2 linked regions of the Arabidopsis thaliana genome follow. The protein of the gene in region 2 purifies or fractionates together with the protein of the main gene of each other region. This does not show direct contact. Each region holds a gene or a part of one and is shown on either strand. Other genes may lie near its edges.

The links.
Region 1: the proteins of TPP2 (region 2) and RPT2a purify together in Arabidopsis thaliana (affinity purification with mass spectrometry; 2 studies listed by BioGRID, with this or other methods). This does not show direct contact.

Annotation. Positions count from the first base shown.
Region 1 is NC_003075.7:14,310,674-14,315,133, reverse strand, and holds RPT2a (regulatory particle AAA-ATPase 2A), read right to left. Parts: upstream 2,852-4,460; 5' UTR 2,766-2,851; coding exon 2,292-2,765; intron 2,199-2,291; coding exon 1,953-2,198; intron 1,637-1,952; coding exon 1,467-1,636; intron 1,387-1,466; coding exon 1,170-1,386; intron 1,081-1,169; coding exon 940-1,080; intron 832-939; coding exon 748-831; 3' UTR 534-747; downstream 1-533. Other genes in the region: AT4G29050 (Concanavalin A-like lectin protein kinase family protein), read left to right, coding at 1-264; AT4G29037 (plant self-incompatibility protein S1 family protein), read right to left, coding at 3,006-3,254, 3,385-3,636; AT4G29035 (Plant self-incompatibility protein S1 family), read right to left, coding at 4,364-4,460. UniProt on the Arabidopsis thaliana protein: The 26S protease is involved in the ATP-dependent degradation of ubiquitinated proteins. The regulatory (or ATPase) complex confers ATP dependency and substrate specificity to the 26S complex.
Region 2 is NC_003075.7:11,167,035-11,171,920, forward strand, and holds the start of TPP2 (tripeptidyl peptidase ii), read right to left. Parts: upstream 3,038-4,886; 5' UTR 2,856-3,037; coding exon 2,423-2,855; intron 2,221-2,422; coding exon 2,142-2,220; intron 2,061-2,141; coding exon 1,987-2,060; intron 1,893-1,986; coding exon 1,783-1,892; intron 1,657-1,782; coding exon 1,576-1,656; intron 1,473-1,575; coding exon 1,386-1,472; intron 1,291-1,385; coding exon 1,148-1,290; intron 1,027-1,147; coding exon 876-1,026; intron 797-875; coding exon 674-796; intron 440-673; coding exon 356-439; intron 255-355; coding exon 67-254; intron 1-66. UniProt on the Arabidopsis thaliana protein: Serine protease of the proteasome pathway that may function with the 20S proteasome to degrade oxidized proteins generated by environmental stress.

The DNA of each region.
Region 1 (4,460 bases), 3.1 Mb from region 2:
TACCTTGAGGAGCAAGTAGCACTGGTTCTGAAGCTCGGCTTGTTCTGTTCGCATCCGGTTGCAGCCGTCAGACCAAGCATGTCGAGCGTCATCCAGTTCTTGGACGGTGTGGCTCAGCTACCAAACAACTTGTTTGACATTGTGAAAGCTAGGGAGAACGTTGGAGCCATTGAAGGCTTCGGTGAAGCAGCTGAGTCCCTTGCAGAGCCCTGTTCGGTGGCTACATTGACGTTTACAGAACCATTTGTCTCGCATGGGCGCTAAGCGACACTTAGTAACTTTTGAATTATCTCCTCTCTTCACATTATGAAGTAAGTTTCGATTTGTTAAAACTTAAAAGAACCTGTGTAATTACTATTTAGCCGATGTTTGCACAATAGATTACCGAAATTAAATATAGACAACTATTTTTATGAAACAATTTTTCAAGCGCTCCACAAATTTGTGTGAAGCATCCAGGATAGAGAGAGTTTGAAGAGTTGGTTATGCCAAGGAAGAGAGAATTTTTTTTTGTTTTTTTTTTGTCCTCACATTCTGTGACAAGATCAGTTTTTTTATTTGGGCTTGGTTTCAGTTGGTTAAGTTTAATGCGAAATAGACATCCTAAATGGAAATGAGGAATTGTTTTACCGGAGGAGATCAGAAAACATGATCAATTTATATGACCAGAAAGATCCTAAGCAGAAGCAAAAGTATTATAACAAAGTGTGGAGGAGGAAAGCCGATGATGACGATATGATTATAATTTTACATGTAGAGGCCTTCAGGGACGCCTTCTTTCTTCTTGAACATAACCTTCTCCTTTGCTTTCTTGAAATCAGGATGTGTCACCTGAACAAATCCAATTTAAACACATTAGCGTCAGTGGCTAGTAATTGCCCAAGTGGTGTGTGTGTGTGTGTTTGTATGTGCTTGAACTAAATGGTTAAGAGTCTCTACCTTCATACGACGCTCCCTGAGAGCTAGTAGACCAGCCTCAGTGCATATAGCCTTTATATCAGCTCCTGAGAACTCGTCTTTCGTCATCACAAACTCTTCGAGGTTTACATCTTCCGAGAGAGTCATCTTCGATGTGTGTATCTATTTTATAAACAGAACCCACAACCTCAATGAACAAGAAAGTTTCGAACAAGTCATTGATTTGCCATCTCAGTAGAATTATATATTACCTGGAAGATACGTCTTCTTGTTTTGATATCTGGGAGAGGGAACTCGATTTTCCTATCAATCCGTCCAGGTCGAAGCAGTGCTGGGTCAAGACTCTCGATTCTGTTTGTTGCAAGGATGACCTTAACATCTCCTCTTGAATCAAATCCATCAAGCTGGTTCAGAAGTTCCAACATAGTTCTTTGGATCTCACGTTCACCTCCTGAGTGAGCGTCATACCTGTTCTTTCAAACAACAAGTAATCAGATAACCATTATCAATGGGTTATAGATCAGGTTTATGAAAATAGTTTAACTTACCGCTTGGTACCAACAGCATCAATCTCATCTATGAAGACGATTGATGGTGAAAGGTCATCAGCAACTCTGAAAAGTTCTCTCACAAGCTTAGGACCATCTCCCAAATACTTCTGAATCAGCTCACTACCAACAACTCTCAAGAAAGTAGCTGATGTTGAATTCGCAACCGCCTAAAATAAGATCAAGTTAGAGAGCTTATTCCCATTAGATAACACCACCAAATTGCAACTATCTCATGCTTGTGACAGAGAGAAACGAGAAAGGAAGACATTAATAGAAACAAGTGACTCAAAAGATTCTTATCCATGAGAACAAATTTCTCGCTATGTTCAAACGTATGAAATCTAGGTGACCAGCAGCACAACAAAGGTCTGGCCTTTGACCGAACAAACGATTAACTGAATGTAATTGACAAGTTAAGTAGTAAACTAAGCTATACTGCAAACAAACACTAATACTCATTAGATTCTAGGTACAAAGACAAACCTTAGCAAGCAATGTCTTCCCAGTTCCAGGCTCACCATACAAAATTACACCCTTTGGTGGTTTAATACCAATATCTTCATACAACTCAGGATGAGTCAAAGGAAGCTCAACAGCTTCCTTAATCTCCTGAATCTGAGCTTCTAAACCTCCAATATCAGCATATGACTCCAAAGGAGCTTTCTCAACTTTCATCACAGACACCATTGGATCCACTTCATCTTGTAGAATCCCAACAACAGAGAGAACCTAACATAAAACAAATCAGCAACCCTAAATCCACAACAACACACAATCGTAATCACAACAAAAACAAGATTCTTAAACCCTAATTTCACATACCTTATTATGCATCAAAATCGAACATCCAGGTTCAAGCTGATCTTTATCAACGAAGGACAAAATCCCAACGTAGTACTCAGGTCCAACAGAAGAAGAAACAATAGCGTGATTCTCATCAATCAACTCTTCCAAATTCCCAACACTCATAGGTGTACCACGAAGATCATCAACCTTAGATCTATCTTCCTCAGCTTTCTCTTCCTGAGGTTTCAACCTCTCTTGATTCGCCACAAACTCTTCCTCCATCAACAAATAATCCTTGATCCGTTCCAATTTCAGTAACCGGAGCTTACACTTAGTAGACGGAGTCACCGTCGGAAGTCTCGCCGCCGCCTCTGGCCCTTTCTGCTTCCTTTGCTTCCTCCCTACACGAGCCGGTGGTGCCGCCGGCTCAAACTTCTTCTCTTTCTTATCTCCACCATCAGGTTTCCGATCTCCTTGCCGATTCAATCCTCCCGATGGTCCTTGTCCCATGATTCTTCTCTCTTCTCTCAATTTCTCTGAGTTCGAGGTTCCTTTCTTTCTCTCTTGTACTCTTGTACTGATATTTTCTGGCTTTGGGAAGAAGAAATGTTTTTTTTTTAATCTTTGACTAAGGCCCATATATAAATATTAGGCCCAAACAATAGTTGGGCTTGTAATTGAAACCAACATACAATTATTGATACCAAAGATTATACATCATGATATAATTTTTTTTAGATCTATGTGGGGTTAGACTGATGAGTCCAATTCTGATTCACTTGTAGGTGCAGACACTGGAGAGATGTTTCCAAGTTTTGATGGACCATCCCATGTATACATGAAATATTCTCCTTCGAACTTTTTGTTGCGGACATAGACTCCTTCTTCTTTTGCAGTCCATCTACATACATTAGGATGCATACCAGTACATGTACCATCTATAAAATCTTTGTCTGGACGAAACGCATCAAAAACCACATGGTGTTTGTAATTTGGTCCCTATAACAAACAAAGATGAAATAAAAAGTTGGTCAAAAATTTATAGTACAATCACTGATACTCATCTTAATTTTTATACATGACAATATGTAAAGAAATGTATAAAAAAGTTAAAAATGTGTTTTCTCACCTGCCATAAATTACACCAATACTGAGTTTTTGGATAAATTTTAAATTTAAACTGAAAACTTTCACCAATTTTAAGATATGTGATTGGGAAATTGTGAGATTTGCTCTTGCAATGAACTTTCAGTATCTTGTGAAACTCAAGTTGATTTACTATTTGGACATTGAATTTTCTGAAGAGAGGAGGCATCAAATAAGAGTTTATAGAATCAAACGAAAGGAGGATAACAAATAAACTTAGCAAAGATTTTCCCATTTTTCTAAAATCTTTCTTGTCAAATGTAAAAAAACTTATGTCAGAGGTAAATGTGTTACAATGTCTTTATATATTTGTTCATATATTTGCTAAGTTTTTCTTCTTCTTCTTCTTCTTATCCTCCTTTCCTTTTAATTCTATAAACTCTAAATTGTTGACTCCGATCTCTATATTTAATGCTTTGACTTTGTTTTCAAGAGACTATTGTCATACAATGTATTCTAGTGTCACCATTAGTACTTGTATATATGGTCATAAATAAGTTGAACGAAAACGAATCCATGATCCATACTTTCTTAGAAATGATTGACCCATGAGTCCCCCATAAATAACAAATACATAAAATCTCATACTGATAATTAATTATTAGTATATCGTGATCAAAATACATGGTTGAATTTTCTTTAATATGGATTATACTCGAATAAACTTTCAAAGATCTCTCGACTTCAACAATGAATTGAATCATGGTGAATCCCCTTTATATATCAATCTAAAACCTCTATGATGAGGTGGATTATAAAGCAGCAAACCATTGTCTTGAACAGTCCAAAAACAATTGAATCCAAGACACGATCGAAGAAAACAAAAATCTTCGATGAAAAATACAAAAAAATAAGAGAGAATTTATGACAAAAGTAAAGTATTACTTCAGTTTTTTTTGCCTGCCAAAATTAACAGATACATATAATAGTTAAAAAATTACCAACAAATCAAAAATATGTTTTCACCATCCAGATTTCCATTTCTCCGACAGTACATCTTCACCGATTGCAGAATTCCAAAGATAAAGGCCATCATTCTTTGCGGTCCAAACACAATTC
Region 2 (4,886 bases):
ATAACTATATCATGCCAGCTACAACTAGCTGTAGAATAATTCCAAAGTTAAAAAAGGTGAAAATACCAAGTGTATTCAAGCCCCTCACTGGGAGGTTCCACCACTGAATGGGCACCTGCTGCCATTGCAGGAGAAACATACGCACCAACCCCAATGATACTGGACGTTGTTCCACCCGGTGCTCCGACTGTTGTCAAAGCTGGACCACTGTTGCCAGCACTACTTACAAAAATTAGACGTCTCTTGTTCACAGCCTAATAAAACATGGCAGAAAGTCCATAAACGCTAGAAGAAAAGCAAAAAATACAAGCTAATAAGTGCTGCCCAAATAAAGACAAAAGGATTTGAATGATACTTCAGTAACAAGATCAACAAAGCGCCCATAGTCTGGAAGTAATGCTGGCTCTCCATAGCTCATGTTGACAAGATCACAGTTATGCTGTAACATTATTATAAAAGTCAGTATATACAAAAAAGAAACATTGAACGTATTGACTTGTGTCAATGCAAACCTCACATATAATAATCCACAAATATATGAAATTCTTCGTGATGTTTAAGTAATTCAAGAGATATACGACTTGTTTAGTTCAAACTTCATACAATATACTTTCACGAAGTTACAAATGATTTTCAGCTAATGGTAAATTCATATCAGCTGATGAATTATTACCTCTAGGGCAGCTATCAATGCCCGAGTCAATCCAGTTCCGGTCTCCATTGAACCTAATCGCGAGTCTCCAATTTTGCAAGATATTATTTGTGCACCAGGTGCCACACCATTTAACAAATGCTCCTAACATACACATAGAAGGTAAGTTAATTGGTTGCAACAAATCATCAATGTATCTAAATTATATAGATGCGTTTTGCACCTCAGGGTGGTGTGCAGTAGCTATTCCAGCAACATGAGTGCCGTGAGGAGAACTATCAGTTACAATGCTTAGAACCTTTCCCTCATCATACACGTTAGCAACAAAGGAGCATGCATCTAGTCGGCTAAACACGCCATACTTCCGTTCAATTCTGTAGTACATATTTGATTGAGATTAATAAAATAAAATAAAAAAATTGGTGAACAAATCATGCTTCCAAACGAAAAGTTCCTGAACTTTCATAAGAGATAGATGTTTAAAGGAAGACTTGCCGGTAGTTAGTCAGTGGGGAGAAGTCTGCTAGTTTCCCGCTATCTGGATCCTCTTCCAGACTCTGTGTATCAAGTGCAACCCTCCATACTTCTCCATCATGCCACACAACAGCATCAATAACAGGCCCTTTGTCTTCATATTTCTACAGAAAAAACAATTGATTTACAGAACAGATTCAAGACCACAGCGAACAAGTACACAGACATAAAACTACCAAAGGGCGGTCTCTAAACTTACATCAGCTTGTTTTTTCAGAAAATCAACTTTGCTTTGGAGGTCTTCACGAGTTTTCTTCAATTTCGCATCTTCCACCTTGCTGTGCTTCTGGAGGCAAGAATGAAAAATGAGGTTATGATAGAATTGAGTAGCACTGTCTAACTCATAACATCTACAATACAGCAAACCACAATCAGCATCTCCCTAGTACCTGATCGAAATCATACAGATTATTTACAGCCTTGGCAATTTCCTCCTGATTCTTTTCATCCCAGGATTTCCTTCTCTCTTTCTGTGTAATGACAAAACAAGTCTTAGCAAATGGGATTGCAGACCAGATATGTAAACTCTGGTATAAGATTTAATGAGTAGATGAAAGTAATCCAACAGCCAAAAAGGTCACAACTCTAATCGCTACCTTCACACGAGAAGTCAAGTCATCTGTAAATAACTGATAAACCAACTTGGAACCTACACGCCACTCTCCAGTGGGATTTTTCCATGAAGAATTGACAACCAAAGTTGCCCCTGTTTAAACAAAAGAAATTATCAACGCATATCGTAGCAAGAAAGAGAAAGCAAACTATCATGCAGAAATCATAAAACCTCTCAAATCACCAACCTGATGCTCCACGAATATGACCATCTTCATTGGCTTTCACCACTGTGGATGTATCTATATCTCCACTTCCAGTGCTAAACGATAACGTAAAATGACCATCACGCCACAGTCAAAGAACACTAAATGCAAAATTCAATTAAATCACAAAACTATACCAGTCAATGACGTCCAAAACCTTGGGTTTTCCATCAGAAGTTACATGCAAGCCAGCAGCAGAAGGATCAAAACCAGAATCTGGAAAACACAAAATTCCATTTGCTCAGTTCCTCAATCAGAATTTTTACTTGGAGAGTTACAACACCTTCTTAAGAACCAAACAATCGCTCTACTATCTGATCCAAGTATAAGCAACCCAACTATAACATAAGGCTTATACAAAACTTCTCCATTCACAAATTCAATCTAGAGAATACAAAACGAGAGAATATCCAAGTACCAAAGATAGCTATAACAACGCCACGACCGTCGTACTCAGGATGAGCTTCGATGAAGCAATCCGCACGGATTTCTTTCTTAGGCATGAGAGAAGCAATAAAGGTAGATTCGTTCAGCTTGAAATTAGCGACAGAAGCATTCTCAGCTCCACCGCCAACGGCTCCACCACCACCTCCTCCGCCACAACCGACGCGAGAAGCCGTAAGAGTATCAGAAGAAGAACAAGGCATCGCCGAGAAACCACTCCGTCTTAATCGGATTCCACGAGAACGAGAGCAGCTTCTTCTTCTGAGTCTTCGATGAAGAAGAAACGTAGAAGAAGAAATGAAATCGCGAGGAAGAGAAAGTGAAGAAGAAGAAGCCCAATAAGAAGTACACGACGGGCCTTTGTTGATTAACGCGCCGTGAATCTGCAGCTGCAGACTCAGATCCATCTTCGGGATGTGTGTTAATTAACAGGGGTATTTTGGTCAAATAACAGCTGAGTCGATGCACCGAATCGTGTCACTCGTTAGAGGTCTTTTGGGTTGTGAATTGTTGTGTCAATGGAGTTGGTGGTGGCTTACTCCAACTGGTGGCTTTCGCTTGCTCTATCTAGATAACGATATTATTTAGATTTAATTTCTTAGTTACATAGTCTTTAATTGTTGTTTTGACTTTTATAATTGGACATAACCTTAATCTGATTGCTTCTTGGGTTTTTGGTCGCTCGTGTATGAGATTGTTCTCCATTGTTGTTGTCTTTAGCTTAATTCTTCGTGGTGAGAATTAAACTAAAAATATGATTAGTAGATTTGTGAGCTGGTTTTATTGTTTTAGGACTGAACATCTGATTTTGATACCACCCATATGATAATATATATATGTTTTTGCTGACTTGTAAATATCATATAATGAAATTGAAGGTATTACAAAGAGCTTTACCTAATGATAGTGCAATCTTGGCAAAAAAGATAAAAAAACAAGATTACAATATATTCAAGAACAACAAAGAAAAGACCGAGCTATCGAATCCAAAGAAGCATGAACTTCCGCCATCTTTTCTTATGCCTTCTACCCGAGATAGCGTTGCGGATATCTCGATCAATATTCTTAAAGATAATTGGAGGAGGGATGATTTGGTTGTTGTGGAGAACATTATTTCTTTGCTTCCAAATATGGTAGATAATATTATCAATATATATGGAAACTTTACATTCACTCATCTGAATTTTCCTAATTTTTTTGTTATGTGTTGTTTGTACATTTTGAATATTGTACTTTATTATCTGTTTGTTGTAGTCTTGTAGAGACTAGAGATTGATCAGTTGATCACACTTTGTTCCTATATGATTAGACTGAGCAATAGCATAACTTATTTGATAAAGTTAGGACTACCACATTTGATTTGTAATTAACTATTTTCTTATACGGTATGTGAGGTCTGTGATCTGTCAGACTAATTGAAATGGCTAAAACTTGTGTTAGTTATGTCATGTGGATATATCTGAAGAATCCCTGAAAATGGGGGTATAGTATAGCATCATTTGATGACAGCAAAATTCAAAAGTCATGAAGCATATTATAAGATTTGTGTGTGTTTCGGTCTCTACCAACAATCGTTGTTGCTTTAAAGAAAACCTTATAGATATTGCTCATAGGTATATGCATGCATTTGTAATGGGAGTTTCGAACACACAGCTGAATCTTAACAGGGATCAGTGGGGTTGATAAATTTGATATTATTAGAAAGCTTCTTGAATCTTTTAAACTTGCTTACTCAGATCCCTCACGTTCAGAAAAATTGGACGGTTATTGTGTTCTTCTCATCATGGGTTTGCTTTCTAGCTTCAGCTATATCTAATCAAAATTTTGACCCTATTTTTTCTCGTTGCCTTTTTTTGGTATGACATATATATCCAAAACAAGTGCAAAAATCTTGATTCGGATTAGGTGTTTGTGGTTGTGAGAGAAGTACAACTACGAATCTATTTGTAACACTATATCATTCAAATATTCAATGCATCACCAAATCAAAGACTTCCAGAATGTAAGAACGTTGACACGTTTTTTGAGCAATGCCATAGAGTTGACATCAAGCATGACGACGTTAACGCTTCATTTCTTTTTTTAAAACTTATTTATAATCTTCCTCCTAAGTGAGATAAAATTGTATTAATATAAGACGTCATTTTTAAAATCCTTTGAATACAAGAGTATGGGACATTCAATTTTCTTTGTTTCATACTAGCAACTTGATTATATATTTTAATTTGCTCCAGCTATGTATATAACGCTTACAAGTTTTATACAAGGAAAACTATGTATTTTAAGAATAAAAGTGTGGAATTTATACACCGTTTGTGTAGGTTTTAAGCGTAAGTCAGATTGTTAATCTAGAAAATATTGTTATCCAGAAGAGTGAAAGACCCAATAAACTTGTAAGTGTAAGTGTTACTCATTCTGTTTTATAAAGTTTATGTATA